Arabidopsis thaliana: one gene and its partners. The protein of the gene in region 2 interacts with the protein of the main gene of each other region in a pairwise test. Each region holds a gene or a part of one and is shown on either strand. Other genes may lie near its edges. The genes, in order: MAGO, AT1G15280 and AT5G02530.

Region 1 (8,800 bases), 4.8 Mb from region 2:
TTTCTTATGAAAAGGATCTTCCTTCTTCATCTCCCGGTGCAAGTATACTTTGGCTTTTTTTACCTGCAATTCAACATTACATTACATTACATTCCATGCACCTATTTTGATGAAATACTAGCCCCACGCCCACCGATTTACCAAGACAATGGGAGGGAAACCTCGCCGCAGCTCAAGTCTCTCAAAGCCTTCTTCATAAAATAAGCACTTGTATCCATCTACAGAGGAATGCTCGCTGCACCAAGCATGACAACAGTGTTACATGTTGACCACCAGTGGTATCTTTTTTTATTTACTATGAATTGCTTTCTACTATATGATGAAATACTCACTTCACCAGGTACGTGAAATTTCGGTTTCGCAACTCCTCCACTACTATCTCTTCTTCTTTGGAATATCTGCATTGCACAACAAAATTTTATATCCTCCTAAATAGATAAACAGATACCTCTTCTATGTATTCAAAGGCAATGTAGAATGATCCCTTTTCCAACAAAGTGATATTCGTATCCAAGAAAATGAACATGAAAAACAAACAGATGCCTCATCTCGCACAAATGGGTGCTTCCGAGTGGCAACTTTTTTCCATGTACATTGATATTTCCTTTACTTTTACCAACCCTAAAACGAGGTAGTACAGCTAACATACCTCCACGGAAAATCATCTTCACAAAAGCGAGATATTCCATTCATCGCACCAAAAGTGTCTATGTGAACCCACTCTTCCCCAGCTACATTTGCAGGATGGCCTGAGAACCATGGAAGGCACCAAGTCAATTAATCATATTGTAGGCAAATTATCAACCAGAGGTAGATAGACACCACAAAACAAACGCTGACCAGCAGATGTTTCTTGTTTGATAGCCAAGTCAATGCTGCTGCATTAATAACAAACCCCAATAACAGAATAAGTCACTCACCAATCTGATGCAAGCGCTTTAAAGCATAGCCGCTAGGATAATTGTAGTAAGATGCCATGAATGTTACAACCGTGCACCCTGCACTATAGAACCAGGTTTAGTAGACTAGCAAATCTCTTTCCTTCTCTTACATAGCAAAGATAATTGTTTACTATTTCTACCTGATTGCAAAAAACGCTAGCATAACCATATTCACCAGTTTCCAAATCGTTTTCTTCCTATTATTGTAGCTGTACAACAAAATCGGATTATATTAAGAGGTCGGCCCGCATTGGTAGTAATTTAAAGTGGCATACAGAAATTATGTGTATCCAAACTCCAAAGAGCTCTTAAGATACAGAATCAAAGAACGTCCTAGCTATGATTGAAAGCTTAGCTAGCAAACATCTGATAGAACTCATACATTCTGCTAGCAGCAACTGCAGCAGACAAGTTGAACATTGGCACTGAACTAATGATAAATCGGAGTTCCTTCATAAATCAAGAAAGATAGGTAAGCCGATGTCAGAAAATGGTTAAGAAACGTTGATGGCTACTGAGATAAGTAATCCATCTGAATACCTTGTGTGGAAGTTTAGAGTATAGTATAACGAACGATAAAACTGGAACTATAAAGAATGGAACCCTTCTGTCAACTAAAGTACCAAGCTGCATAAAAAGAAACCAAATAAGAAAATTTGTAGAGATACAATTAGCGATCCTAACTAGAAAGGAACAAGACAAACACTATCACAGATGTTAGGAAGTCTGGTATTTACCAATGAAAGTGGATAAGCTACAAGTAAAGACCGTGGGAGTGCTGAGGTGAAGTACCAATGTATGGAATGTGTCTAGTTTAGCAACTAATTTTCAAGGACAACACATCATTTCATACAAATGCAAGTGCCACAATATTAAACTTTGAATTGGAAATTCCAAACGGTTATCATTGTACAGAACGCAATCCTTTAATCAGGCAGTAGAAAAATGCTAGAACATTATGCATCATATGAAAAATAAATCAATTGAGGAAACAATTTTTTTGAAGGATACACCCCAATCAGAACTCCGGTTTAGAATGGAGTTAAACCAGAAAACTTCAAATTCTGGCCAGACAAACTTCTTCCACATGATAGAGTCAACGAAAATGGTAAGACCTGTGCTAAGGATTATTCCATGACCACAGAAAATAGACTCGGGAATTAGTGTCTGAAGGGAAAAAGCAAAATAGATCACAGAAAGAAGAGGAATTTTAACCAACCTACGGCCAACAGAGCGGTTCCAACACAATACTTAAGTGCTTTCCAGAAGGAGATCGATTTGGTCTGTCATTGACAAACATAAAGCACCCGCATCAGATGGAACGGTAAAGTATACGGCCAATTATACATATACAGAAGTTGAGAACCCAAACTATTTAATATTCGTCACCAGCTCACCAATAAAAGTTCAAGACCAATAGGCCCAAGCAGTAACATCGTATCGCATCTGAAGATTACAGTGGCAAAAATCTGATTATCGGATAACAGAGATGTCAGCAAACCCCATAGTTCTGGATAGCATGACCGATTTTCTAAATCTATAATCGAGAAAATATGTCACCACAAAGATAATACATACCAGGAAACTCAAAGCTGGATAAAAATTTCCCTTTAACCAATTACCATATGCCAGATTGACTGCAAAATCAAAATTTAAAAACATAAGCAGAACCTAGTAAGGCCTACGCTAGATGGGTCATGGGAAAGATTGCTAGGACATCTGAAGGACCACTACTAGTAGAGTAAGATGAATAGAAGTAATTACCTAATCCCAAAGCTAGAATATTAGGAAGAGGACGAGTGCAGTAGAAAAGAAAATGAAACTGAAGACTGGTGAAAAGTACAAAGAAAGTTTCCACTTGATTTCCAAACTTTTTTTTTATCTGACAAACCAGTAGATTTTGGTCAGTGGCAGTATATAGGAGAAAAACAGCCAACAAGATGCATGTAAGAGATCCCAATTCCAAGGACATGGGAAGGGACAAAGAATCAGATAGGGGAGTCAGAAGTGTGGTATGGAAAGAAGCACTAAAGGAACTTCATACCTGAATCCGGAAAAATCTTAGTGTGGACAATATGATGCAGCCCAACACCAAACGAGCTGCAAGACAAAATGATAAAACTATGATGTGAATTGGTTTTGTCTGTGTTTAGGGGAAAATAGTTAGCGATTCATTAAGGAATTATATAGGGAGGGAGAAACAGAAGAGAAACCTGCAACAAGGCTATAAACCTTGGGGAAGCCAAGGCAGCTGATAATTGATACAACAGGTGATGCAAAAACAGAGACTATGAAGGCTCCTGCAAGAACAAATCAGAGTGGAATAAAAAAAAAACCATCCACTAATGTATAATGATAAAAAAAAAACCATCAACAGGTGATGCAAAAACAGAGAGCGAAATTCAACAGCCCTCCTTACCAATAAAAGTTCGAGGGACAACACCGGGGAACTCCAAATGATCATACTGATAGGAAAAAAATAAAAAGACAGAAGTCGGTAAAAATTGACATCACTCTAGAGATAAAAAAAAAAAGAGTAAAGCTTCAGAGAAGAAGTAAAAAGAGAGGTCACTCACAGAGTCCAAATGATGGCGATGGTAAAGAATGTCGTGCATTGACTTGAGACGAGTGAAACGGTTTCAGTAAAACGGAGAAAGAGTGTGACTCTAAATACTTTGAAAACCTACCTGAACGTTGAAGCTCTCTTCCACCTTAGTATATGGTGCCATGACCACATAGATTGCAGCTACAGATCCCAGAATCAAATCATATCCTGCTCCCACCAATCGAAAGTTTCAGTTATATAAAAAAAGAAAAAGAGATCATCTGGCCGCCTAAGAAGACGAAACGAAGAAATTACCATAGGATTGAAGAAACTTGGCCATTTTCGAATCCGTCGGCATCGTCTCTGTATCGGGGAATCGGAAATCAGGCAGCCCGGATACACACACAATTTCGATGGAAACAGAAAAACTAAAACTGGGCCTTAACTTTTCGGGTTACAAATGGGTTCTGGCCCAATATGTAAGCCCATTACCTTTTTTCTTTTGCGGGGACGGACTTAAAGAAGGGCAAAGGACACGGAGAGGTAATCTCGATCTCGAGAAAGAAAGAAAAAAAGAGAAGGCATGGCCGCGGAAGAAGCGACGGAGTTCTACCTGAGATACTATGTCGGTCACAAAGGGAAATTTGGACACGAGTTCCTGGAGTTCGAGTTTAGAGAGGACGGTAAGCTCCGTTACGCCAATAACTCTAACTACAAGAACGATACTATTATCCGCAAGGAGGTATTTCTCACCCCCGCCGTGCTCAAGGAATGCAAGCGTATCGTCTCCGAGAGCGAGGTCCTTTTTCTCTCTCTCTTCCGATTTGCTTCTCTCTTGTTAATTGTCCGCGTTTTGGTCAATCGACGCTATAATAGCCAATTAGGGTTTTAGTGATTTTGCTTCGATTTTTGTCGATCTAGGGCATCTTTCCTGACTAGTGTTGTAGGTTTAGAACCCTCTTCGTTGTTAATGCTATTATCTAGGAATAATGGATGATTTTGTACAACCTGACATGTGATTATTTGTCTGCGGGTAGATTCTGAAAGAAGACGATAACAATTGGCCGGAACCTGACCGTGTTGGAAAGCAAGAGCTCGAGATCGTCTTGGGTAATGAGCATATCTCATTCGCTACATCTAAGATTGGATCTCTTGTTGATTGCCAGAGCAGTAATGATCCTGAAGGACTTCGCATCTTCTACTATCTTGTTCAGGTCTCCTCTCTTTTTCTTCCACCCCTTGCCTTACCATCTTTTCTTTTACCTAATCCCTTAACTCTATTGGACTCGATTATATATTTAGGACTCTGCCTTTTAACGTATTCACTGTCTCAAACTTTAACATTTAGGGTTTGGCTGTTAACACTCATCCCTTACATGGTTCTGTAGTTTTTTTTTTTTTAGTTTCTGTATTTATTTGTGCTCTAACATATTCCTTTTGAAACTTTCATGGTTGCAGGACTTGAAATGTCTTGTTTTTTCGCTCATCTCTCTGCACTTCAAAATCAAGCCTATCTAGAGAAGAAAATCAGTTTGTGACATGTCAAGACGCGATGAATTTGTTGGGAACATGAGGACTTTGTGACTGAAGTTTGGTTGTTTTTATGTCTCTGGTTCTCTGTTTTTTTTTTTTGTTGGATTTGGGTGAAAGTGGGTATGTAAGATGTTCTACCTCAACTTTTGGTCCTTTTTTGTGTCAACATCCCATGTGAAGAACCTTTCATGAACCACAACCTATCTTCTAAAAACCATATACTTGCTGTTTTCTTATCACAAATCATTCACTCTCCCTAATGTACATCTACATATGATGCATGTTTCTTTTCCCTCAAGCCAATTTAAACTAAGGAATGTGATCTATCTAAAATACAAAGTATCAAAAACTAGCTGGATTAGTCGATAATTAGGATTGTTTCCATTCTAAAAAAACGCCCTCGGACCATTCAAACTGCTCCTCCAAAACCCGTAAATCTGGTTTTGCATTGAAGATATCAAGAGTAGCTTTTTATGAATCGGGAAGAACAATGGAGGATTCATTTGTCAGTGTCAGGCGGATTACTCACAGCCTAGACAGAGGACGCACCTGCCATTCATCCTCAGGTTAAGCACGCACTAGTCTCCTTTACCTTGTTGTAGTGTGTTGCAGAGAGTCACATGCATATTTCATCTTGTGGCAGGATCAGGTGCATGGTTAGGGCGGGGACTGGCTTGTGTTTGTGCACAGAAAAGGGATCACCACTCTCGTTATTCCTTTGATCTCACCCCTGCTCAGGCACCAACTAGCATCAGCTAGTTAGTTAGTTACCTTTTAAGATGGTCGGGGAAACATTAGTAGCTGGTTAGTTAGTTAGTTACAGCAGCTTTGGGTTAAGAGAGATAAACGCGAAGCCATATATATTGACAATTGGATGGTGTATAATTTATTGTTAGAAAACGAGTCCGCATTTGATATTCGATATTGCATTGCGTTCAAGGTGATGGATGATAAGTGGCTCACAATGCGGGATTCCTACATGGATTTTTTTTTTTTTTTTTTTACATGGATTTTAACGTAGCCTTTCTCCTCCATATAGCTTTGACTTTAAGAGATCAACTCAGTCTTCAGAGACTGAGTGTAAGTAAATTTGTGTTTGTTTGGCAGACGGTGCTGAAATCGACAAGGCATCAACTGGAGAGAGAGCTTCTACTGGAAGATGGGACCCGAGTCCAAGCCTTACCTTGTTTTAACCTCCTCCTCCAGAAAGAGTTAGAGTATATCTCCCAACTTAAAATATAGATGTCAATCAAAAAGCAAGCAACAATTGGAAAAATGAATCAAGAAGACTAGTATAGATCCAACATCTGGGAACCACAAAACAATCTCCAATTGCTGAGTGGATCGTAGGAAGGGCCAATTTACAACCCTAAACTTGTGAAAGAAGAATGAATTTTAATCTTGGCGTTATTGGGCCTCCGCTCCTCTGGACTCTGTCGGGCTTGATCCATTTTCGTTGCTGAGTGGATCGTAGGAACCCTAAACTTGTGAAAGAAGAATGAATTTTAATCTTTTGCATTATTGGGCCTTCGCTCATATTATTATTCAAGGCCCAAACACTGAATCTCCTCCTCTTGTAAATCGCGAGAGAAAATCAGAAAAGAGAGAGAGAGATCTCTGGCTCTGTATCGCTCGCTGCTCTTCCTCCCACAGATCGAAAACCATGAATCCTGAGTAGTAAGTTCCTTTCTCCATCGACACATACTTGGGTCGAAATTACCTCTGTTATATATTTGATTCTCCGGGTGGTTCCTAGGGTTTAATTAGCGTTTTGGGATTTGCAGCGACTATCTTTTCAAGCTCCTGCTTATCGGGGATTCTGGCGTAGGCAAGTCTTGTCTTCTTTTGAGATTCTCTGTAAGTTTTTTTTTTTGTCTTTTTCTTTCTCAGAGATCAAACACTGTAGCTTTCTACATTTGTTCATGTTTGTTGTTCTGCTGCAGGATGATTCTTATGTAGAAAGTTACATTAGCACTATTGGAGTCGATTTTGTAAGTTGATGTTTTCTTTTTTTTCTTCTTGCTACTGATGACGATGCTTTGATCTGACCTTTTTTTTTTTCTTATATATCTCTTGTTCAGAAAATTAGGACTGTGGAACAAGATGGCAAAACAATTAAGCTCCAAATTGTATGTAACTATTTTCACACTTGTCAAGTTAATAGCTCTACGTCTCTTTCCCTTAATTCATATTTTTCCCTCTTCACTTATTTTCAGTGGGACACTGCTGGTCAAGAACGGTTCAGGACTATTACTAGCAGTTACTACCGTGGGGCACATGGAATTATTGTAAGCAACATCTTATCTAGGTTCTTTCTGTTGACTCCTTTAAGTTTATGTCCTAATTTAGTTCTTGCACCTGGTAGATTGTCTACGATGTCACAGATGAAGAAAGCTTCAATAATGTCAAGCAATGGTTGAGTGAAATTGATCGTTATGCTAGTGACAATGTCAACAAACTCCTTGTTGGAAACAAGTCTGATCTTACTGAAAACAGAGCCATTCCTTATGAAACTGCCAAGGTATATATATGCCACTTGAACCAATTCTTTCTTCTCAAGTTTTGAAAATCATCAAACTCTAAGGCTATTATTACTTTCCTGATTACTTCGAAACATTCATAGGCTTTTGCCGATGAAATCGGGATTCCTTTTATGGAGACTAGTGCAAAAGATGCTACAAACGTAGAACAGGCTTTCATGGCAATGTCTGCATCCATCAAAGAGAGGTATTTATCTTACATCGTTCTTTTTAAGTAACTGCGGTTAATATACTCATCATACCTGATGGAACTTTTGCGAAGCCATAATCTCATTTTTGTAAGTGTTTATATAGATCTCAGAAAGTGTCACTGTGTAAGTGACCTTGGAGTGAAATAAATAAATGACTGATGTTGACCTTGCAGTGTTCAAATTGAAAATTCAAGTAGTTGTACTTAATCAATTTGCAGAGAGTGTGCGTTCGTGTGATATATGAGAGAAATTGATCTCTGTGGTTTGGATGCAGAATGGCTAGCCAACCAGCTGGGAATAATGCAAGACCACCGACCGTGCAGATCAGAGGACAGCCTGTGGCACAGAAGAACGGCTGCTGCTCAACTTGATTGACGTGACCAGCCTAGCAATATCCTTTCCAATCTTAGAACACGTGTTCCTTCTTTTGACTAGGCTCCAATTCACTACTACTTGGTTTTTACACAACATCCCCCCAAATCTGTCTTGTCTGTAATTAAGCTCCTTTGGTTGGTTATTATTCTGTTTTTCACGTTTCCTATTTGCTTTACCTCATGATGAGGTCCTCATCTTTCCAACATTCTTGTTTTTCATTTCTGCCTTTAGTGGTTTTCTATGGGTTTCTTTGCATAACAATGTTCTACGACTCGATTTAAAACCCACAAATTGTTTTTTCCTATATCAAACGTGATCATCATTGAAAACAAAGATAATCGTCTCGGGAATTTAAATTAGAATCAACTTTTGTTTGTTTGATTGAGACATTGAGAGAATCCAATAGCGAGAAAGTGGAGTCACCAGTGTGAATTTAATCTTTGATACAGGTGCAACACGAATACAATTGATTACATCATTTCGTTTAACAGAGTCTCTGCTCATATTCATATGAGTAGGTAGGTATAACAACAACTTTGCAAAGTAACGTCCGATAATACATTACATACATACATGCATATATCCATCCGCATTCTGCACAAACAGAGAGTAGGGTGTAGCAAATTTACTGTTTGTTGCGGCGGAGGAGGCGTTCCAAATGGTGGAACTGAGCCT
Region 2 (12,032 bases):
TACTATGGCCGGATGGTGTATTCATGACAAAGCATCCAAAAAGGCAGCAACAATCCAGCATTTCTGAAGAGGAGCAGAAACAAGAAGCAGAGAGACGAGCAAAGTTTGTTCATGAGCTGATGATCGGTAATGAGCGTCCTGTTATCTGATTTTTTTTTTTTGCATCAATGATTGCGAAGCTTAATTGAACTAACATAAATGTTTGAAATAAACCCTCAACTCACAGAAAAAGCCCCAGCTACTATAGTGAGTCTTATAGGACAAAAGGAGTATGAACAATGTGCAGAAGATCTTTACTTTTTCCTTCAGGTAAACATTCCACTTGATTTCAGGTTTGTGCGATGCTTACATGCATTTGATGATTTCATTGTTAAAATTATTCTTGTTTCAGTCATCAGTGTGTTTGAAGCAATTGGCGTTTGACATTTTGGAGTTGTTGCTACTATCAGCGTTTCCGGAAATGGAGCAAGCTTTCAAAAAATTGCACTACGAAAAACACCTCTTTGGTCAATATACACCACCGAACTGATACTTGGATTTTCATTGTAATCATCTTCCATATTACGTGGAGTTTTGCTAGAATTCTTTAAACAGTAATAGCACGGATGCATTTCATTGATGAGTGATCACACTATCAGAAATAGGATTGCACAGTAAAGGAAGTACAAGAGCAAAAAAGATAAACAAACGAATTAAAAAAAAAAGCTACATAGCAAGAAAGAGATGGCAAAACGCAAACTGAACAATGCCTAGGAAGACGAAGCTGCAGCTTTGTTTCTTGGGGTGGCTTGCGTACCTGATTCACAGAATTCCATCGATCAGATTGAGCAAGTCTTAGATTATATCAAATATTTAAGTGAAGCAAAGGGTGCAATGTAGCTTTACCTTCTCTAAAGCAAGTCTTGAACCTTCGAGGGACATTACGGAGATACCTCATCCTACCAGTTCCTGTTGTCTTTCTTCTTATTGCCTTCACACTCCAGTTATCTGCACACAAAATCATAAATTCCAGGACTCTTTCATATATCTCCAATTCTCCATGATCAGACCCAAAATTCCAAGACAGAGACAGAAATAGAGAGAGAGTACATACATGTCCTCTTTCTGGCAGCTGGATAAGCACATGCCGAGCAACGACTCTTCTGGATGTGAAAGCTCCGGCGACCACATCTCACACAGAGCGTGTGTGACTTGTTCCTCCTCTTACCAAAGCTCCCTGTTCCTTTACCCTGTCATTTCCAAAGCACCGGTTACACATAAGTCACACATGAGCTTACATGGAAAAAAAATGCCAATAGATTACCATTGCCGCAGATGCAGGGGATGATCAAAGTTTGCTCTACAGAAATCTTTGCGGCTCCGAGAAGACGACTGTGTAGCGTCCTTTAGGGTTTTTCCTACCCAAAATGGATCTTCATTGGTTACCGCCAAAAATATGGGCTTCTTAATGGGCTTCATGGGCCTGGTTCTGATATTACCTCGAGTCAACTGGCATACAGTATATATAATATGAGTAGTGAGTGGTGGTGGCAATGATAAGTAGGGGACCAATTTTGAACACTGCTTATCAATGTGATGACGATTGCTTACCTATAAAAGTGGACAACACAATCAACAAGATGACACCTTCTTAAAGTCTGACACTATCAGCTTGCTTCTTCAACTACTACATGCCACTAAATCAATGTTAGGTTTCCTTTTGAGATCCCTAGTGACATAAATATGGTTATCTTCTCAAAAAAATGAGCAGCAAGAAAGATGATGAAACCTACATCAAAATCAATTCAGAGAGTTGGTCGTTTCTTAAAGAAGACTCTTGGGAGCATCAAGTCCACTATCTGCTCTAGTGATTACAAAAACTTACCTAACGACACTCCTCTCTTGAGCCCTTACTCCTGCAGCCGCCGCTGTCCAGAAGATTCCCAAACCCAAACCAAAGAAAGCTACACCGTTATCTGTTGTGACACGGCTGTGGCAGATACAACACACCAGAAGAGTCTCAACAACCAACATAAAAAGAAACCGAAGAAAGTCGCTGAGCCATTCGAGGATGCAAAGAAAAGAGGTGACGCGTTGGCGCAAAAGATGAAAGATCTCAATATGGTGGATCTGAGAGACGTGGATCACGCATTGGATGTAAGGGAAGCGCTTCGATGCTATTCAAGCATCAGAAGTCCTGTGTATCTTGACATTGTTGACAATTTCTTCACAGACATGTATTACGAGTTCTCTGATCCTCGTACCTCTGCTAAGATCAACGGTTCAAGGAGAAAGGCAGGCTCCTTCAGGCTTTAAAGTTCCTCTGGATCAGCTTTGCTTTCACGGGCTATCTGTAGTTCTTTCATCTATAGAGTATGCACTTCTTAAGAACAGTGTTAACCATTACACACACCGCTTTGGTAAAATCACCTGTCACCACCCTCAGTTTCTACCTCATCTTGTAGAGTCAAGTTACGCTCCTATTCTCAACTACTATCAATGCAACATATTTTCCACTTCAAGTTATGACAACTTACAGTTTATAATACTATATCTGAAGATAGAGATGTGACACCCTACTACTCGATTCTTGACAAAATGATTTTAGGGTAGATACCACTTTTCTTTTTCATGAAAAAATGGAGAAAGCAAACATATGTATGGAGAAGCGAAGTTACTCTTCTCGAATTATGATAAAAAGTTACATCAACACAGGATTATCTGTTTTTTTCACTTGATAAATTTGCATTTTAAAACACACTTCATGGATAAAACGGATCATTTCTTGCCACTCTTCTTAAGTCCAGAACCTCCAAAGGATCCCTTCTGCGATGCCTTGGCTCTAAGCTCTTTAAGGGCCTGTTTTATCATTTTCATTCAAAACAAAACAGGTCAGGCTTTCGGTAACAAATGATCACTGTACTTCTCATGCGAAAGAAAGGCTAATGAGTCTTTCACACAATTGGGTGGAAAAAAAGTAGACTAAACATCCTAACATGGGCAAATGGTCACTATTTCATCAAAGTAAGAAGAAACTAGTCCATATCATCTCAAAAGAATCTGTAATGAATACCCCTAAACTAACAAATAATTAATAGAAATGACCCATCTAGTTGTAGTCACCAGCTATAAAGTCATAATTAGAGTCAGCTTGATTAGTAGACCAAACTGACAAAGTGGAACATATTAATGCACAACCTTTACAAAACCTTTACAAACCTATGTATCTAAACAGAAGCTCTCTTGTGAAGATACAATCTTTGATTCGTATTTTATAGCTTTCCATTGAAAGAGGAGCCCAAACATATAAGTTTAACTAGATGCATTTTTCCAATCACAAAACTTCATATGAACAAAAAGAGAAAACAAGTCAGAGCATCAAAGTGGGAACTCACCTTTTCCTCATCTTTCTTCTTCTGAATGTTAGCTAAGTCAGTCTGCATTGATACCAAATCAACATTTCAGCAATTAGAGAATGTCTAAGAGTCATTAATACACAAATAGTATGCAAACAAAATCAAGTGAAGAAGTCAAGACTGTGCCCTTAAAAACACTGGATCAAAATTCGAACTTGCGTATAAATCATTGAATCCGAGCAAAATTAATGATTTATGAGTCACTGAATGTTAACAAATTTTAAGAATTCAAGTTAGTTGGACAATCAAAACCAGATCCAGAGCAAAAGCATCGTTTGATTCGAGGTCTAAAGCTAACAATATAAGCCGATTTAGCTGAAGGCAAATCAACAGAAAATCCAACTCTTAAAAGAAAAAAGAAACAGTAGAGTCACCTCGTCGTATTCCTTCTTATCAGCTTTAGGCTGCTTCAAAGGTTTCGCCTTTCCTCCTGTTTAAAACCAAAATAAGATGAGCAGATCGTAAACGATGTCTCTAATCACTTTATTCGGTGAACGAATCACCAACTCAAATCTCTGTATAACAGCAACGTACCTTGCTTGGAAGACATGATTGGTTCGTTGAGCTAGGGTTCGATGTTGAGCTCAAAATTGGGGAAAAAGTAGCTGAGAGTTGCAGACGGTATCGAATCTCTCTGATTGGGGCTACGGTTCATATTTATAATGAGTTCGTAGTAACAACGCAACCTATTAAATGGGCTCTGAAAGTGTATGGCCCATTAAAAGGCCTACAAATTTCTTTTTGGGCCCGTTAAATACCTTTATTTGGGTCAACCTAGGTCACAGTCGTTATATTTAATGCGCGAAATAACAAAATAAAATCGATTAATTAACAGTTAACAAAAGGTCTGGCTCCATTCGATTTCATTGGAAACCCCCAAAATCGCTGAAGAACGCCTCTCGAGCTCAGATAGGGTTTATAGGTATGCGCGAGCTTTCTTCTACATAGTCGATTAGTACGGAGCGCTTGAGCGACTCTTTCGATTTCTCAATTGAATTTCTTCTTCATCTAGGTTTTGGATTTACGAGTACCACTCTCCTTTTTTTCAGGTTTCTAGAGAGAATTTCATGGCGACATCTGAAGCGGAATATGAGAGTGATCCCGAGGAGCTGAACCGCTCCTTGGCGACGAGGAGGAGAGAAGCGAGTGATGACGATAGTGATGATGATGATGCTGTTAGAGATGTGAAAAATCAGAGGGCTGTGGTTGATTCTGACCTATCTGATGAAGAAGTTGGTACTGTGAAGTATGATAATGACGAAGATGGGGAGGATAGTTATGAGGATGATGAGGAGGAAAGTGGTGGAGGAATCGATAATGATAAGAGTGGTGTGGTGAAGGAGGCTGGTGATATGAATGGAGAGGAAGAAAATGAAAAGGAGAAGTTACAAGCTGCTGTTCCCACTGGTGGAGCTTTTTATATGCATGATGATAGGTTTCAGGAAATGTCTGCTGGCGGAAACAGGTTTACTCTCTTTACTGTGTTTGTTTTTCACAGCTTTCTCAATCAATTCTGCTTCAAAATCTGTCACTATAAGCTATCAAGTATCAACTCAACCTTATTATGCAAGGGTTGGATTTTTCAAAGTAGGTATTAACTTAGGATGAAATTGTATTTAGAGGAGAGATAATTGACTCTAAGGTGGAGTTATTGACCTCTTATTATCTTGCAATTTTATCAAGCATGAGGGGTTTGAGTAGCTGCATTGGGGATTGCTTAGTTCATACTATTGGGAAATATGATTTTTTCTGAATATAGCTCTTCCTCTCTACCTTCTATCTGTCGATTGATATAGTTCTTTATCTTGCTTTCGTAGGCGAATGCGTGGTGGGAGAAGACAGTGGGGCTCTGGAGAGGAAAGAAAATGGGGACATGACAAATTTGAAGAGATGAATACTGGGGAAAAACATTCTGATGTAAAGCTTCTGTCTATGGTTTTTAGAATAATTTTAGATTCCTCTTATCTCTTAATTGCTATAACATGTACATGTGACATATGTTAGCTTTGTTGTATTTATGCACTTTCCGTCTCTTATCTTTTTCCTTTCTTTCTTAAACTGCATTTGATACACAGCAGAGGATGTCTAGAGGCCGATTCAGAGGTCATGGTCGGGGTAGGGGACAAGGGCGTGGATACGCTAGAGGGAGCAGTTCTAACACATTAACCAGTAGTGGACAGCAAATTTATGTTCCTAAAGCTGTCTCACGAGGGAGAGGACCCAGGAAATCCGACACTCCCCTGAGGAATGAAAATCAAGCACATTCTGAGCAAAGCAAACAGTGAGTTCTTAAAAAAAAAATCCCCTAGTTGAGTGAAGGGTTTTCTCTATTATAATGTACTTGTGTACTGAATTTGTAGGTTACGAAATTCTAATGGGTCTCAAAACTCTCGTGAGAAAATGCCACACCTCGATTCACGGCGTTCACCAACTGCCCCTGCTAAAACTGAGAATCAAGGTGCCCATGCCAAAAAGAATGTAGCTGTGTCAAGTTTGAGTTCCGCTTCTCCTCCATTTTATCCTTCAGCGCCGTCCAGTAATGTGGTACATGGTATACAAGTTAGTATGGAAAGACTCCACACAAATGAAAGTGTCACGCCTTCTGGGAAGAAGTATAGGAATACAAAATCCGGTTATTCACCAGTTTGGACTGCCAAGACTCTTCAGTCCACTAGTCAAGGTAGAGGTGCACCTGCTGCTGGGAACACGTTTTACCCGCAATCTCATAGTCAAGGTGACAGATTTTCATCACCAATGCAACTCAATGGAGATTCAAAAGGCACTGGCCAAAGACCTTCCGGCCAGGGTTTTGATCAGCACTCTGCTGTTGTTAGATCATTGTCTTCCTCTCCCCAGAAAACTAGCTTATCAAGAAATCGGTATCCTCCTGATGAAATAGAATCTTCATCGGAAACAGCTGCATTGATTGCTAAAGGAAAAGGGACTCTCAGGCCTGGTGGAAGCAGCTCTTTTATGTATAGTGGATCCCAAATGATGGGGCGGCCAGAAAGTTTGACATCTGCTGACAATTCTAATTTCCCTACTTTTCTGCCTGGTAAGTTTTTTGGATGACGCTTTTCTTTGTAAAATGGATGAGTTGAAAGAATTTTCAGTTTCAAATCATGCATGGTGGTGAAATTGAAAGCTATTGACGCCGAGCCACCTAGGCCTGGTTGTTCATATATACTATTTTCGGAGTCCTGTTGTACCAGCTTGGGGAGATTATTGCATTACTTTCTAATTAAATTCAAATTGAAATGCAGTTATGCAATTTGGTGGTCAGCATGGTGGGGTTCCGACTTTTGGAATGGCTTATCCAGGATATGTCCAGTCTGAAGATGGTGTTAGAAATCCGGAGATGACATGGTAAGCTAGCTCCTTCCCCTTCTCGATGAACTTTGTGGATGCTAGTTTTCAGAAGTTCTTGGTTGTAAGCATTTCAAAGAATTAAGAATTAGATATCGTGCGTATTGGTTGCTGAATTTCCGTCTTATTTGTGTTTTTATATGTTGTCCCTTTAATCACCTTTGTGCGGGTCTACCTACTGGAAAAACAAAACCTGTGATGGTGTTGTATCATTAGAATGTTTACTTTCATTCTGGATACTGTGTTGGTTGAATGCTATGAGCTCTTCATCTATATGACTATATCTAGTTCCTGATTTTATTCTTTCCCCTGCTTGCTGCTGTGATCTCTTTATATGATTGGCAGGATGCCAGTTTTAGCTGGTCCAGGAGCTTTAGGGGCTTCATACAGTCCACCACCATATGCGGCTCACCAAGCACACAACCCAGGGTTACCTTCCTCTGCGGGATTCTCCAGGTTTAGAGATTAATTGCCTTCGTTCTCTTAAATGTTTTTAATGCAAAAACAATGTTAACTGACGCAAATTTGCATTGTGTTTTTCTCTTATTTAAACCTACTACATATGCTTGGCATATATTTATATTTGCAAAGCATGGATTTTTAGTTTGCTTAATCCAGTTACTATTTTTGCAGCAAAGACAGTAGCACAAATACCCTTAATGACCTGGTCAAACCCATGGAAAGTCCTGGTTAGTCGTATTGCAAAACTTGCTCTTTCTGTTATAATTCTAATGGTTACACATCAGGTGTTTGTGTATAGTATTACGCTTATTAGGGAATGAATTTGCATTAAAAGAAAGAAATCATAATGAAAGACTATGTGGTTGGATGTGATAGATAATTAGTACATAAGCATCTGGAAATGAGATATGGGAGATGATGTTTAGGGAATGCTGTTTCAATAAGCACTTTTTCAAAATTTGTCTTTCCTATTAAAATCACGAAATGAGATTTGATTGTGGGATCATTATATCTGAAGTTAAGCTACTTTCCATCTGTGTAGAGGTTGCAGAGAATGGGGTTTCAGAACGGCAAAGCAACAATCCAAGCAAGCAGCCTCGTAGGTGAGCTTTTGAAGTTAACTCGAACCTACTCTGTCAAATTGATCATTGGTTGATATGGAAGTAATGGAACCATTTAGGATTAGGGAATCAAATTGATCATGGGTTGATATGGAAGTAATGGAACCATTTAGGATTAGGGAATCATGATGCATTATGTCTACGAATTTAACTTGGAAATAACTACATTCATAGACTTAAGGTTGAATATCATATAGGATTCATGTAGAGTAAGTTTTGTGCAATTTGATCCGAATAGCCGCTGGAGTTGTCATTGCTGTATATACAGGTACTCGGAGATGACCTTTAGCAAGTGAAAACATTTGTGAGAATTTAAGAAGGGACTTTAGGGACACCTTGGCGCAGGGCTATGTTGCTTCTCCAAGCTTTGTTACAGAACACTTTTAAGGCCGCAATTGTTCCTGAAAATCTTAGGTAAGTGATTCAAATTTTAGTTACCGGGGATAGTAACAGGGTAATAGAAAGTGGATGTTTGATTGTGCTTGTTGTTCTTGTTGCAGTTTTATAAGGGAAGGGAAAAAAAAACAAAAGATAATAGTAACGACTACTAGTAGCAAATAGAATGGAGAAGGGACGTAGTGGCTCATATAAAGCTATGGGAGATGTAATGTATTTGTGTTTCGTGTTTTCCGTCATCTGCTTGTTTGGTATTTTACCATTTTAAGCTATTTTCAGGAGACTAGTTGTCCTAAACTTTGGTCAGCATCCTGTTTTGTGTGTCTTTTTTTTTCCGAGAATCTAATCTAAAGTCTCTCTTTTGAGCATGTAAATATTTGTCGCAATGTTATTTCATTTGTTTTCTTCCTATGGAATCACATGAATAGGAGCTTGCTATAACAATAATTGCTTCAGAAACTCGGAAATTCTTAGCTTTCAGACCAAATTGAATGCTGCTTTTTTTTTCTTTGCTCAATGGGAATGCTTTCGAGCCTTCGATGATGATCTTTTGATCTCACAGTTCCGATGCTGCTGAACATCTGAACCACTCAAATTTCAGTGGTTCTAGATAGCTGAGGTGCAGTAGGAATGTAGGATTAAGCGCCAGTAAGCTGTCTTCGCTTTGGGCAAGTTATAATTTTGAACCGACCACACAATCAATAGGCGCAGTGGCCTTCCCAATTGGTTTTGAAAAAACTGGTATCAGATTCAGATTGTCCACCTAAAATTGCTGTAGATTTCTGGACTATAATAGACCAGAAAAAACTTCCAAAATCTCAGAAACAAGACAACTAGCGACGAAAAATTTACAACACAACGGGGTCAAGCTGCACCTAGAGTGCAACATAAGAATAGAAGCAACCAACTACCTATCCCAATAAAAAAAAGCCAATAAACCAAATGAGATGAGAATATTCTCTGCTTCACAAGAAGCTTTATTTTGTTAACCTGATGAAACCCACTTATCAGATCATGCACAAACTGACGACGGTTGATGGTACAGCCCAGCCGCAACATTTGTAAGTCGCACCTTGTTCTTCCTTCTCCTTTTCTTTGCCACAATCACAAACCCTTCACCTCCATTTGTCTCATTTGCATTCGCTCCATTCTCCTCTTCTCTACTATAAACTATCTCGGTTACTGCACTATCCTTTTCGGAGGTACCTCCTGACTCAGCTTCGGGGCTCGTTTTGCTAAGAGCAGCCGGAACCTCTTTCTGTGATGACTTTACTATGAAGCTGGCAAGCTCTCGCTTCTTCAAATCAACTGCATCTTTCTCAGCCTTTAGGCAACTGCTGGAGTCGACGGATACACTTGCATCTTCACCTGCATGTTGAGAGCTATTCTGCAAGGATCTTCTCGGAACAAACTCTGGTGCATCTGGATTCATGCTTCTTGGCGTCCCAACTCCATTTGAGTGAATAGCACTATAATATGGTGGTGAGTGAATCCCACATGAAACTACAGCCCAGGAAATAGGGTCTGCAACCATAATTGGGTAGCTGCCTATTGTTGCTGCTGAGCTTTGCAGATCAATAACCAAGAAACCTCCAGGGTTGTAAGGCTCTGCGGAGGCTGATAGCTTTGTCCGGCTTATATCAGAAGTTTTTTTCCCACGATAGGACCCCAGATCCCCTTCAGACTCTGACGTTAAGTTTTCCACTGACTCAGCACTTTCTTGTGATTCTTGTTTCTCACAGTGAAGCTCTGTGCCTTCGATTGGCAAATCCAACATTACAGTGTCGGACTTGCTTTCTTCTCCAGATGACGCACTTGAAGTCCTGTATATCTGAGTTTCAGTTCTCTCCAAATTCAGTTCTAATTTTTCTAACATTGGCTTCAGAACTGTACCTGGTGGTGCCAAAGCAACCTCTTTGTATGAGAGAGACTTTGAGGCCAAAGTAGTACTGGTCACAGCAGCAGCACCAGAAGCCTTTAACTGTGGTTTAGTTGTATTTGTACTGACATCTATCTCTGCATTCTTTAGAGCCCTACGGGGTGATGACTTAGAGAGGGAGGGTCCTTTGCTTGTTTTCTGCAAGGGAGAATATATATTCTGTTGCTGAACATCCTGATTCCTGTTGTGATGTTTATTAAGCAACATTCTCTTTTTCATAAGATCAGGCTGCCTTTGTCTGGATTTCCTTCCAGCACCATTTCCGGATCTCCCCTTTGAGTATGCCTCTTGCCAGCCCTCGTCTAAAGTTGACTCTTCCACAGTTTGCCTGTCTACATTTAGCCTGTGTACTACAATATCACCTGTCTCAATATTGGTCTTATCAACAACTGTATCAGGATCATTTACTTCGCTCCTACTCTTAGTGACATCCGCTTCTGCCACATTGTTCCATGTAACAATGTCAATCTGTGAAGCAACTCTATGGGCGTCATCATCAGCTGATGCAACCTTATCATTGACCTGTAATATCTGTCGAAACAGAAGTAATGTCACAAACCTTTGACAGGAAATCCTGGAGTGATATATCTATCTCATTCTTTTCGTTTCAACATCTCACATGTTTTTTCTTTGGACTTCTAGTGCATGGAATGCCTTTAAAATTTAGATCAATATTCCAATTTAGACATACATCTAGAATACCAATCAGCATAGTTCAAACTTTTCAAGAAGAGTTCTACACAATTGACAGGTTTTTTATTCAGGTTATTATTTGATCAACAAAATCCAAAATGAGTGACCTGAGGAAAACAAGGATATTAGAGTTTAGGAATTACCCTGGCACGCCGATGTTTCCTGTGAGCAACATTTCCCTTAGTGTCTGGATCAGAACTTATATAGTCCAGGAGATCTGATACACTGCAAGAGAAGGTCGGACTTTGGTGCCAATGAAATAATTACCATATCCTTTATGTGTTCTAGGAGTTTCCATTTTAGTACCTAAGGTGGCCTTTGCTCGCGATGGAAGCATCAGGCTTTGGGATTCCATTTCGGCCTGCTTCCTGCTGCTCTATGGCTCTTGATTCAAAATATTCGAGCCATGCAGCAGCATCCTGTGAGAGACAAATGGAGAAAACAAACATGTATGTCTCAGAGTTCAAAACGTTCACTTTGTTACTTTGCTAGTAAGAAATTAATATTCGTCTGAGATTTGTATGCGAATGAACCAGAAGCAAATCAATCACCTGTGTACGAAGGTCATCTGCTCCAAGTTTTGCAGTAAGTATCTGAAGTGTAGTTTGTTCATGTTGCACACTCAATGAATGTGCTTCCATGAAAGAGAGAGCCACTGCTATTGCATGATAGCTTGCCGCAGTCTGGCAAAGTAAAACACAGAAAGCATGATTAGTTTAAGAATGCGCGCAAATTGAGGCAAGATAGATAAGGGAGGAACCTGAATATGGTCAGCTCCTAGCAATCTTTTATTGCTCTTTAGAGCTTCATGCAGGTACCTTAGAGCTAGATGATCATTCCCTACTTCTTTTTCCATCATAGCCACATTGATATATGTGGCAGCAGTATTTGGGTGAGATAGCCCACAAGTGAAGTGAAGAAGAAACAACGCCCGGTTCACATATCTATAACAGATAACAAATAAAAATGGTTAGAAAGAAGGCAGATATATTTAAAAGGAGCCAATCAGAGGAAAAGGTTGGACCATAAGCCATTCCAAGGCAACAAGACAAAGGTAATGGAAAAGCAAAGTAGTAAGGTTCCATCTTTAATGACTATATAACTATAAGAGATCATCATGTATAACTTACTTTAGTGCCAATTCAAAATGTTGAAGACGAT
Region 3 (9,105 bases), on a different chromosome or scaffold from region 2:
CAAGTCATGCAAATTTTAATACTAAAGACTTTACTTGTATGGTTTGTTTGCAAATTGTTTTAGGGCAATTCTCATTAATAAAACAAAAATAATTTCTGTTTACAAATTTATAACCGAAGAAACCGCACAAGGATTAAACCAAACCTGTTATTTAAACCGGAGAATGTAGAAAACCAGGAAACGAGAACCAAAATACACAAGCTTTAAACCAAACTGGTTATCTAAACCGGATCAAGTTTTCCCCGCCAAAGCAATTTTCATTCCCATTGTTCCAAACAGTTTAAACCCTAAACTTTTCCCCAATTTTGCTCACTAAATCTCACGAATCTCTCCTCTCGAGAATCTCCTAGGGTTCCGATTATTTCTCAATTAAGATAGTATCCAGCTCGATGACGGAACCAAATCTCGACGAAGATGGTTCCAAGTCGTCTTTCCAGAAAACGGTGAGTGAGCTTCTTACTTCATCTCCTCGTATTTGATTCAATCAGTGTTCTAAATCCGCCTTTTTGTTCATCTGGGTTTTTCGAATAAAGGTGGTGCTGAGAGATTGGTGGTTGATAAAATGCCCAAAGGAATTCGAAGGGAAACAATTTGGTGTTGCTGGATTCGAAGAGTCCGTCGAGTAAGAGTGCTTTGGACTTTTCAGGTTTCTTTTTTTTTTATGAAACGATTTAGTTTTTGAATTCTTCGAATTTTGCCTTAATAGGACAAGAGCAATGCGTGTGTTTACATCTTCACCAATCACCAAAGCTTTGGATGTTTTCACACTCTTAGCATCTGATGGAATCTATATCACTCTCAGAGGTTTTCTTAACAAAGAACGCGTTCTTAAAAATGGATTTAACCCTGAGGTAATCTAAAGATTGCTTAACTTGTTGGAACTTGATCTATCTAAGAACTAAGGAAGAAGAACTGACTTTGATTTGTTCTTTCTCTTTTGTTCTGTGGTCTGGTCTTGGGAATAGATTTCTCGTGAATTCATCTTCGGGTTTCCTCCTTGTTGGGAACGAGTTTGTAACAGTTGCTTTGAAGGAGACTCTTTTGGCACTGATGTTAATACCGTCCCTTCGACTATCGAGAAAGGTTAGGTCTTGAAGCAATGTGTTTGTGTGTGTGTGTTTTTTTCTGATGCATCTATGTTTTATTGATATGTCCTTGTTTTATGATTTCTTAGCAGCTTGTCCTCCCATTTTATCACCTTGTAAGTACTCTAACAGGAATCTTAAGGATAATCCAGCTGAGAGCAGAGAGAAAAGCAATGTGACTGAGACTGATATTGCAGAGATTAATGATAAAGGTGGTTCTGGAGCAAGAGATATAAAAACTGCAAGGAGAAGGTCTCTTCATCTGCAAATAAAAAGGATACTTGAATCGAGTAAAGTCCGGAAGACTGCTAATGATGGAGATCATGGTAGTGAATTTTTGAATACGGCTAAGCGCGGTGATGTAGAAAGAGATGGATGTGAGGTTATCAATAATGAAGACAGTGAATGGAAACTCGATGAAAGTGAAGTCCAGAATCTTTGTAATGATGGAGATAATGGTAGTGAAGGTTTCATTAAGGCTAAGAGCAGTGATGTAGAAAAAGATAAGAGCGAAGCTATCGATAATGATGTGATATCTCCAGCGGTTGGAAGTGGTATTAAGCATACCGGTGCAGATAATGTTGATAAAGTGACAAGTGCAAGTGCTACTGGAGAATCACTTACTTCGGAACAGCAAAATGGTTTACTTGTAACAACAGCATCTCCACATTCCCTGCTTAAAGACTTAGCCAAGAGTAGCAAACCTGAAAAGAAAGGAATATCCAAGAAAAGTGGCAAGATCCTCAGAAGTGACGACAATGTAGTAGATCCCATGAATTACTCTGGGACGAAAGTCAAAAGTGCGGAAAACAAAAGGAAAATCGATGCGAGTAAACTCCAGAGTCCGACTAGTAATGTTGCAGAACATAGTAAGGAAGGTTTAAATAATGCTAAGAGCAATGACGTAGAAAAAGATGTATGTGTGGCTATCAATAATGAAGTGATATCACCAGTGAAGGGATTTGGTAAAAGGCTTTCTGGTACAGATGTTGAAAGATTAACAAGTAAGAATGCTACTAAAGAATCACTGACGTCAGTACAGCGAAAAGGTAGAGTGAAGGTATCGAAGGCATTTCAAGATCCCCTGTCGAAAGGAAAATCAAAGAAAAGTGAGAAGACCCTTCAAAGTAACAGCAATGTTGTAGAGCCTATGAATCATTTCAGGTCTGAAGCTGAAGAAGCTGAAGAAAACTTGTCATGGGAAAAAATAAAGAGGAAAATCGACTTTGATGTGGAGGTAACCACTTCCCCTTATGCCACCACTTACATGGTTATCCTCTGATATTCCTGTTTGAGTGTTAATGCTCTTGTTGTTATGTAATTCAAAGGTAACACCGGAAAAAAAAGTGAAGCAGCAGAAGACCAATGCGGCGTCTACTGATTCATTGGGACAGAAACGGTCAAGATCAGGTTAATAGAGAGTAGAAAATCTTCACTTCCAAAGGGCTCTGTTGAAAGCATTAGTTAAAAAAAGAATTTTGTTTAATGTTTTGCAGGAAGGGTGCTTGTGTCATCACTAGAGTTTTGGCGTAACCAAATTCCTGTTTATGATATGGTTTGTGATTTGATTTCCTTAACACTAGACCAACCATGGGAACAGAGTCTTTAACATTGTCTGGGTTTGCAGGATCGGAACCTTATCCAAGTAAAGGATGGTAGTGAGACTAACTCCGCTCCATCTAAAGGTTAGTTCTTTAAAGCTGTTTTTTGATGAAAACGGCTTTCACTATATAATACAATATTTGTTGTTTTTTTCTTTCTTCTTCTTGATAGGAAAAGGATCGGATTCTCGAAAGCGAAGAAACTTGAAAATCAAATAAACTATTTCAAACTTTCGTAATTAATAAGTAGGTTTATTATGGTCTCTGACCCTGTAATCATAATTAATAAGTAGGTTTGTTATGGTCTCTGACCCTGTCTGTAATCATTTTGTTGGTCGTGAAACTCTCTTAATATTTTAGTATTACTAGCTTCCTTTATTTTTTTTACAAAGTAAATTCATAGTGGATCTCGTTTGCTTCAAGCTCAAAAGTTTGAAACGACAAAGTATACGTAGTAAGAGAGTAGATAGAATTGTGTTTTGAATTGATATTTTAGAAGAGTTTTGAGTTCCACGGTACACACAATGCTTGTTTCTCTGAACTCAACTGCAAAAAGCTAAGAAGCTCACCAAGAGAAGAAAAAACAAAAGCTAAAGCTCGAAAATGTCAGACCCATTGACATTCAATCTAAAGATCATACTAATACAAAAGCATATCGGCACTAAAGGAAGGAATACATGTAGACATGCAATAGGTTTAATCTCCCCTTTCTAACTTGTTTCCATTGCCTCTTTGTGGTACTTGTCCAATTCAGCATCAAGATCCTCTGCAGATACGTTTTCATCACGTCCTCTTCCACCACTGCCACGACCACCACGTCCTCTAGCTCCCCTGCCACCTCTGAAATTACCACCGCCAAAACCACCACCACGAGGACGCCCCATAAAACCGCCTCTTCCTCTGCCTCTGTGGCATAACAGGTTATCCAAAATATTTAATAGGAGTACAAGGTTCGTGTAATCTACCTATCAGGATATACTTGGCCTAACCAAAAAAGCATTTCGTCAATATACTAACTCAAGAACAAAACATAGGCCATCTTAACAGAAGAACAAAACATAAGTATTTCATCAAGATACTAACTGACTTAGCAATAGATTGATAGACCCTAGCAAATGATACTATGAAGTTTCCATATTGAACAAAGTGTGGAAACAAGACAAACCTGAAGTTTCCATTGAAGTTGCCATTGAAATTGCCATTAAAGTTCTCATTAAAGTTGCCAAGTATCCCATTAGTAGGAAAAGGAATCTGAGCTGTAGCAAGAATGGGAAGAGCTGGAGCAGAAAGATTAGTCCCAACAATCTCTATCTTCATCAGTTTTCCATCCAACTGAACATTGTTGTAACGCTTGACAGCTGCCAATGCATCCCCACGCCTCGAGAAAACAACTTCAGCAGTCCCCTGAAAGCATCATTAAGTTTAATCATGACAAGACGATTCAATAAACAAATCTCTGAAGCACAATAAAGCTTATCAAGTAAGTACCTTTGATCTTCCACTCCTATCATAGTGAATCCCATATCGCTTAAGATCACCAACCTCAGAGAAAAGCTCCTACAAGCAAAACCATCTCAAGATCAGAAACAAAACCACAATTTTTCTCATAAGTAAGACTGGAACTATAATAAACTTCTAAAGCACAAACCTTGATATCTTCGTTGGAGACACCATAGTCTAAGTTTGAAATGTAAAGCTTAGTTCCAGTCTCGATAGACGAGCCACCACCAACAACAGCAGTCTGATGATGCCCAAAAGCCGCCGCCACAGACGCATCAGTCGCGAAGACGTCGTTTTGCCACATCGCATCATGAGCTTGTTGTTGTTGAATCGGCTGTTTTATTCGTCAAAGAAGAAACGAAAACAGATCTCAGCTTTTTTTGATTTCACAAAAACCCTAAAAGGAATTCTCTGATTCTTGAAGGAAGAGAAGGTAAAGGGAGAGATATAAAATCAATGGGCTGACCCTTGAATACGGCGCCGTTCTGGCTCCTACGCGGTTAGCAAACCGACGAGACGGACCGGAATTAGAACCGGAACCACCGCGACCACCGGTGTTATTGCCACCTCCAATGCCTCCTCGGCCGCGAGATCCAGTAGGTTTTCGATTAGATTTGATGATATCATCAAGTGACATATCTAAGCCACCTGACATCTTCGCCGGATCTTTTCTCCGATATCGAGAAATGTAGCTAGGGTTTTGTTGCTCTGAGATTTCAAAGATGGAATTACGCACCGCGAGAGTGAGAGAGAGAGAAACAGATATTATCTTCTCGGAGAATTACGATAAACACCTCAGCTTTAATCAATATTGTTTTGTTGCCCTTAAACTCTTACGTTTTACTAAATAGACCCCTGAGTTCTTAATGGGCCTTTTGGACTCATAAAAATCCAGTGGCCCATCCTCATTGTCCACTTCAACTTATTATATTTTTTTCCCTCCGGCCATTGTCATAATCAAAGATGTGGACAAGTACATGTGAAGCACACGCATTGCCTGTATGGGCACAGTATGTGACTGTATCACAACGTACATACACATTCACGTATTAATATTAGTAAGTCAACCCTTTTTTTTCTTTGTTTATCTCAATTTGGAAAACAAATCTTGCCTTGCTATTTAACAAATTACTTGTACCATGAGTGTTAAAGACATCTTTATAACCTGACCAGAAGATTTTATGTAGAATTCTAGACGAATTATGAAATTTTTAATGGTTAAGTGGACTTTTTTATTATATGATATACAGATTTGTATTCAAATGATGACACATTAATTACTATACAAAATATTTAAATATGTTGATAAAAACAAAATGTGGTTAACAAAAAATTATTGATATCTTTGATCCATGGAATAATAACCGTTGCACAATAGTATTTTTTGAGCTGCCTTTTTTGGCAGTAATATAATATAAGGAAATAAATAGTCAATATCGTTAGACGTTATAGTCTCACATGGTCACATCACTTCCCCATACAAATGAGCCAATGAGCCGGATGTCATGTGCCAGTCGCCGCTAAAAACATGATAGATAGAGTAAATGCCTTCATTATTCTACTTACATAATTCGACTATCCTAATATATAGGTGCTAGATCTAGCAATATAATCTCTTCTGTTTCTTCTTTTTTTTTTTTTTTTTTTTACTGAAGCAGTTACAAATGTAGGTTGGTCCATTCTATTTAGATTTGTTTCGTTGCATGCCAAACAAAATAATGTTAACCGGTTATAGAGTACTAAACAAACAAAATAATCGCTAAATATAAGTTCAGCTTTGAAAAGAATATACTCTCAGCTACCACGACAAGTTTGTTCAACTATCAGTTTTACATCATAAAGCATTATAGGTTTTGATTGTTTAAATCACGAATTAGTATGTTGAAACAATAATAACAATAATAAATATGGCATTAATCTCGATAGTGGTGTGTGTGTGTACCTTTGTGTAAATCTACCACCTAACAATGTCATTATGAGGCTCTCTCAGCAATCAATTTTGCAAGGCAAAAAAAAGAAAGATCCAAATCTCGTAGTTGGATTCTCTGAACTTGGAAACGGGATGTGAAAGGAACATCGATATCTATGAGCACGGGCTATGAATTAATTTTATACATTCTGTATTGTTTCTTTATCCAAATAAGTATATATCTTTCTTTATCTGCCGGTCAAAAACTCTGTAAACGACCGATGAAGTATTCTTGAGTAGAGTTTTAATGATTTTCTTTAGTATAAGATTTATGCTCTTCAGTTGTTTAAAATTTGTACGAGACCTTGTTTAGTTATGTTAGGTTTTCTTCTTTATTTTCTATCAAGAACATCCAATGCAGGTTTGAATATGGATGACAAAGTCAAGTATTTTCGTCTCTACATGAAAGAAACAAACCCACACCACTTTGATTTTGTTGGTTTAGACTATAGTCATCGGTTTAGTTGCATAATAACCTCCCTAAGTTTTGGGGAAAAAATGAAACTAATTAGATGGTTAATTAAATGAAACTCGCCCCTAAATTAGGAGGGATTTGGGTAAGTGGTAACACATTCACTGGAAACATGTGAAGAAAGGAGGATGTCAAGTAGCTGAAAACTCAGTATAGTAACCAACGGCTTCTCACCAACCTTTCATTAATAATTTGGTCATCCCTATATTTTTATTCAACATTTTGTTTTTCAATAGCTTAGAGCACCTTAATACCTTTCAGTGTTTTTTTATAAAAAAAAACAAAAATTGGGATTAATCATCAATCCCCAAATGTAACGTTTACTTAGATTATGTTCATTTTTCTATACACACAAATCATATTCTTTTGTTTTAATCTTCGAAAAACGAGAGGACATTAAATACCCCTAAAAAAGGAGGGGACATTACTACCAACGTACATTAACATGTTTGATAGCAAACGATTTATTTTGTTCGTTTTGAAAAGGGGAAAGTAATGTGTAAATTATGTAAAGATTAATAAACTTTTATGGTATAGTAACATTTTCGAATAATAAGAGAGGGAAAACACTCGCCATTGTCGGCAATTTAGAACCAATATTAGAAGGGTTTTTTTAGAGAAAAAGGACTTAAAAGTTTAGAGACCTTAACAACAACTTATTTAGAAATAGACATGCTTAAGTTGACAACAGCGAGTTTATTTTCTATATCGAAGAAAAATACGAACTTTTTCTTAATTAGATTTCGAATGCATGCACTATCGAGAATCGACCGTCACAAGAAAAAACTAATATACATACTGTACATATCTATATTCAATATTGGTGGGGATGGGTTTAATGTGTATTTATAATTCATGGATAAATTCACACAATAAGGTCCATGAAACTAGAAGGTACCAAAAATAAGCATTAATGACTCTTTGCCACTTATATATATGATTCTCTCATAGTACCATTTTATTCTCCCAAACCTATCTTCTTCTTCCTCTCTTGTCTCTCTCGCTCTCTCTCTTCTACATTGTTTCTTGAGGTCAATCTATTAAAAATGGGATTATATTCACTAATCACAGGAAGAAGAGGACCAAGTGGATTTGGTTCAGCTTCAACAGCTGAAGAGGTTACTCAAGGGATTGATGCAACTAATCTCACTGCAATTATCACAGGTTCACATATGCATATGCATACATTTACAAAAAAATTACATCGCTACGTTTTTGAACATGTTTTAATTATTTATTGCTAACAAAACTTGGTATGTGATTTATTATTATTGTAATAAGGAGGGACAGGAGGAATAGGGATGGAGACAGCGAGAGTGCTGTCGAAGAGAGGTGCTCATGTGGTGATCGGTGCCCGAAACATGGGAGCTGCAGAAAACGCCAAAACAGAGATTCTCAGACAAAACGCAAACGCACGTGTCACTCTTCTTCAATTAGATCTCTCTTCCATCAAATCCATCAAAGCCTTTGTTCGTGAATTTCATGCCCTCCATCTTCCTCTCAATCTCCTCATGTACACATTCTCTCTTTCTCTCATTCAGTTTAAAGCGTTTGCACCGCCTTTTTTAGCGTTTGGATTATTGATTCTTATGACAATTACAGGCTTTGAATGGTTTCCACATTAACAACGTTAATTAACACTGTTTTGGTTACCATTCCTCTGTTATTGTGTAGTACTACTATTTACGTTAGTTAGGTAATAAACAACGACACCCAATAATTATTTATGCAGCTTTTTCTTTTTTGATGTTTAATGCTGTGACAATGACATTATTTTTTCGCTCTAAACATTTGACTTCTTTCTTCTTGTTTTGACAACATCAATGTTACTTTACATTTTCCAATGTGGTATCATTTATTACTACCAAATCTCTACACACGTATCACTAGATTTGTAGATGTGTGTAGCAAGAAAAATAAATGTTATCTGTTTTTATTTTATTTTTTTGGGTGAAAAAAAAAAGTGCATACTTTTAATTAATAATTATAACAATTGTACACAAAATGGATTTTGCAGAAACAATGCAGGAGTAATGTTCTGTCCATACCAACTCTCTGAAGATGGAATCGAATTGCAGTTTGCTACAAATCACATTGGTAAATCCTATATTTATAAAAAAGTTAAAGAAACTTGGTTTCAGAAATTAAACCTGAAAATATTGAAATTTTTAATTCTTGAATTATACTGTATAGGTCACTTTCTGTTGACAAACTTGCTCTTGGACACAATGAAGAACACAGCTAAAACCAGTGGTGTTGAAGGAAGAATTTTGAATGTATCATCTGTAGCTCATATCTATACTTACCAAGAAGGAATCCAATTCGACAGCATCAATGACATTTGCAGGTAAATTCTACAGTTTTTGACTTGTTTCAAAACTAAATAAATCTTGATCTTGTAACCATGTTTTTTCTTTCTCTCAGTTACTCGGATAAGCGAGCTTACGGACAATCGAAACTAGCCAATATATTGCATGC

What was found.
Region 1: the proteins of AT1G15280 (region 2) and MAGO interact in a two-hybrid assay, tested with the Arabidopsis thaliana proteins (one study listed by BioGRID).
Region 3: the proteins of AT1G15280 (region 2) and AT5G02530 interact in a two-hybrid assay, tested with the Arabidopsis thaliana proteins (one study listed by BioGRID).

Annotation. Positions count from the first base shown.
Region 1 is NC_003070.9:399,671-408,470, reverse strand, and holds MAGO (mago nashi family protein), read left to right. Parts: upstream 1-4,014; 5' UTR 4,015-4,069; coding exon 4,070-4,285; intron 4,286-4,523; coding exon 4,524-4,700; intron 4,701-4,944; coding exon 4,945-5,004; 3' UTR 5,005-5,371; downstream 5,372-8,800. Other genes in the region: ALG12 (homolog of asparagine-linked glycosylation 12), read right to left, coding at 1-63, 142-235, 333-398, 650-749, 921-1,003, 1,082-1,150, 1,324-1,391, 1,482-1,568 and 12 more; RA-5 (RAS 5), read left to right, coding at 6,683-6,696, 6,804-6,876, 6,963-7,010, 7,101-7,148, 7,236-7,307, 7,385-7,540, 7,643-7,746, 8,025-8,121; VAD1 (GRAM domain family protein), read right to left, coding at 8,751-8,800. UniProt on the Arabidopsis thaliana protein: Core component of the splicing-dependent multiprotein exon junction complex (EJC) deposited at splice junctions on mRNAs.
Region 2 is NC_003070.9:5,248,076-5,260,107, forward strand, and holds AT1G15280 (CASC3/Barentsz eIF4AIII binding protein), read left to right. Parts: upstream 1-4,209; 5' UTR 4,210-4,317; intron 4,318-4,444; 5' UTR 4,445-4,462; coding exon 4,463-4,860; intron 4,861-5,212; coding exon 5,213-5,312; intron 5,313-5,470; coding exon 5,471-5,676; intron 5,677-5,755; coding exon 5,756-6,450; intron 6,451-6,658; coding exon 6,659-6,761; intron 6,762-7,106; coding exon 7,107-7,217; intron 7,218-7,394; coding exon 7,395-7,450; intron 7,451-7,764; coding exon 7,765-7,825; intron 7,826-8,111; coding exon 8,112-8,139; 3' UTR 8,140-8,257; intron 8,258-8,343; 3' UTR 8,344-8,788; downstream 8,789-12,032. Other genes in the region: AT1G15240 (phox (PX) domain-containing protein), read left to right, coding at 1-126, 227-309, 392-529; AT1G15250 (Zinc-binding ribosomal protein family protein), read right to left, coding at 750-796, 886-987, 1,094-1,229, 1,304-1,306; AT1G15260 (LOW protein: ATP-dependent RNA helicase-like protein), read left to right, coding at 1,759-2,295; AT1G15270 (Translation machinery associated TMA7), read right to left, coding at 2,758-2,838, 3,375-3,416, 3,770-3,825, 3,930-3,945; AT1G15290 (Tetratricopeptide repeat (TPR)-like superfamily protein), read right to left, coding at 9,252-10,709, 11,015-11,096, 11,178-11,290, 11,423-11,554, 11,632-11,815, 12,002-12,032.
Region 3 is NC_003076.8:560,936-570,040, forward strand, and holds AT5G02530 (RNA-binding (RRM/RBD/RNP motifs) family protein), read right to left. Parts: upstream 4,991-9,105; 5' UTR 4,842-4,990; coding exon 4,653-4,841; intron 4,521-4,652; coding exon 4,335-4,520; intron 4,244-4,334; coding exon 4,175-4,243; intron 4,091-4,174; coding exon 3,852-4,090; exon of another isoform or gene 3,593-3,851; coding exon 3,397-3,592; 3' UTR 3,150-3,396; downstream 1-3,149. Other genes in the region: AT5G02520 (dentin sialophosphoprotein-like protein), read left to right, coding at 390-443, 534-622, 707-851, 966-1,083, 1,175-2,322, 2,414-2,495, 2,582-2,640, 2,713-2,770 and 1 more; AT5G02540 (NAD(P)-binding Rossmann-fold superfamily protein), read left to right, coding at 7,674-7,791, 7,909-8,140, 8,645-8,724, 8,821-8,974, 9,052-9,105. UniProt on the Arabidopsis thaliana protein: Export adapter involved in nuclear export of spliced and unspliced mRNA.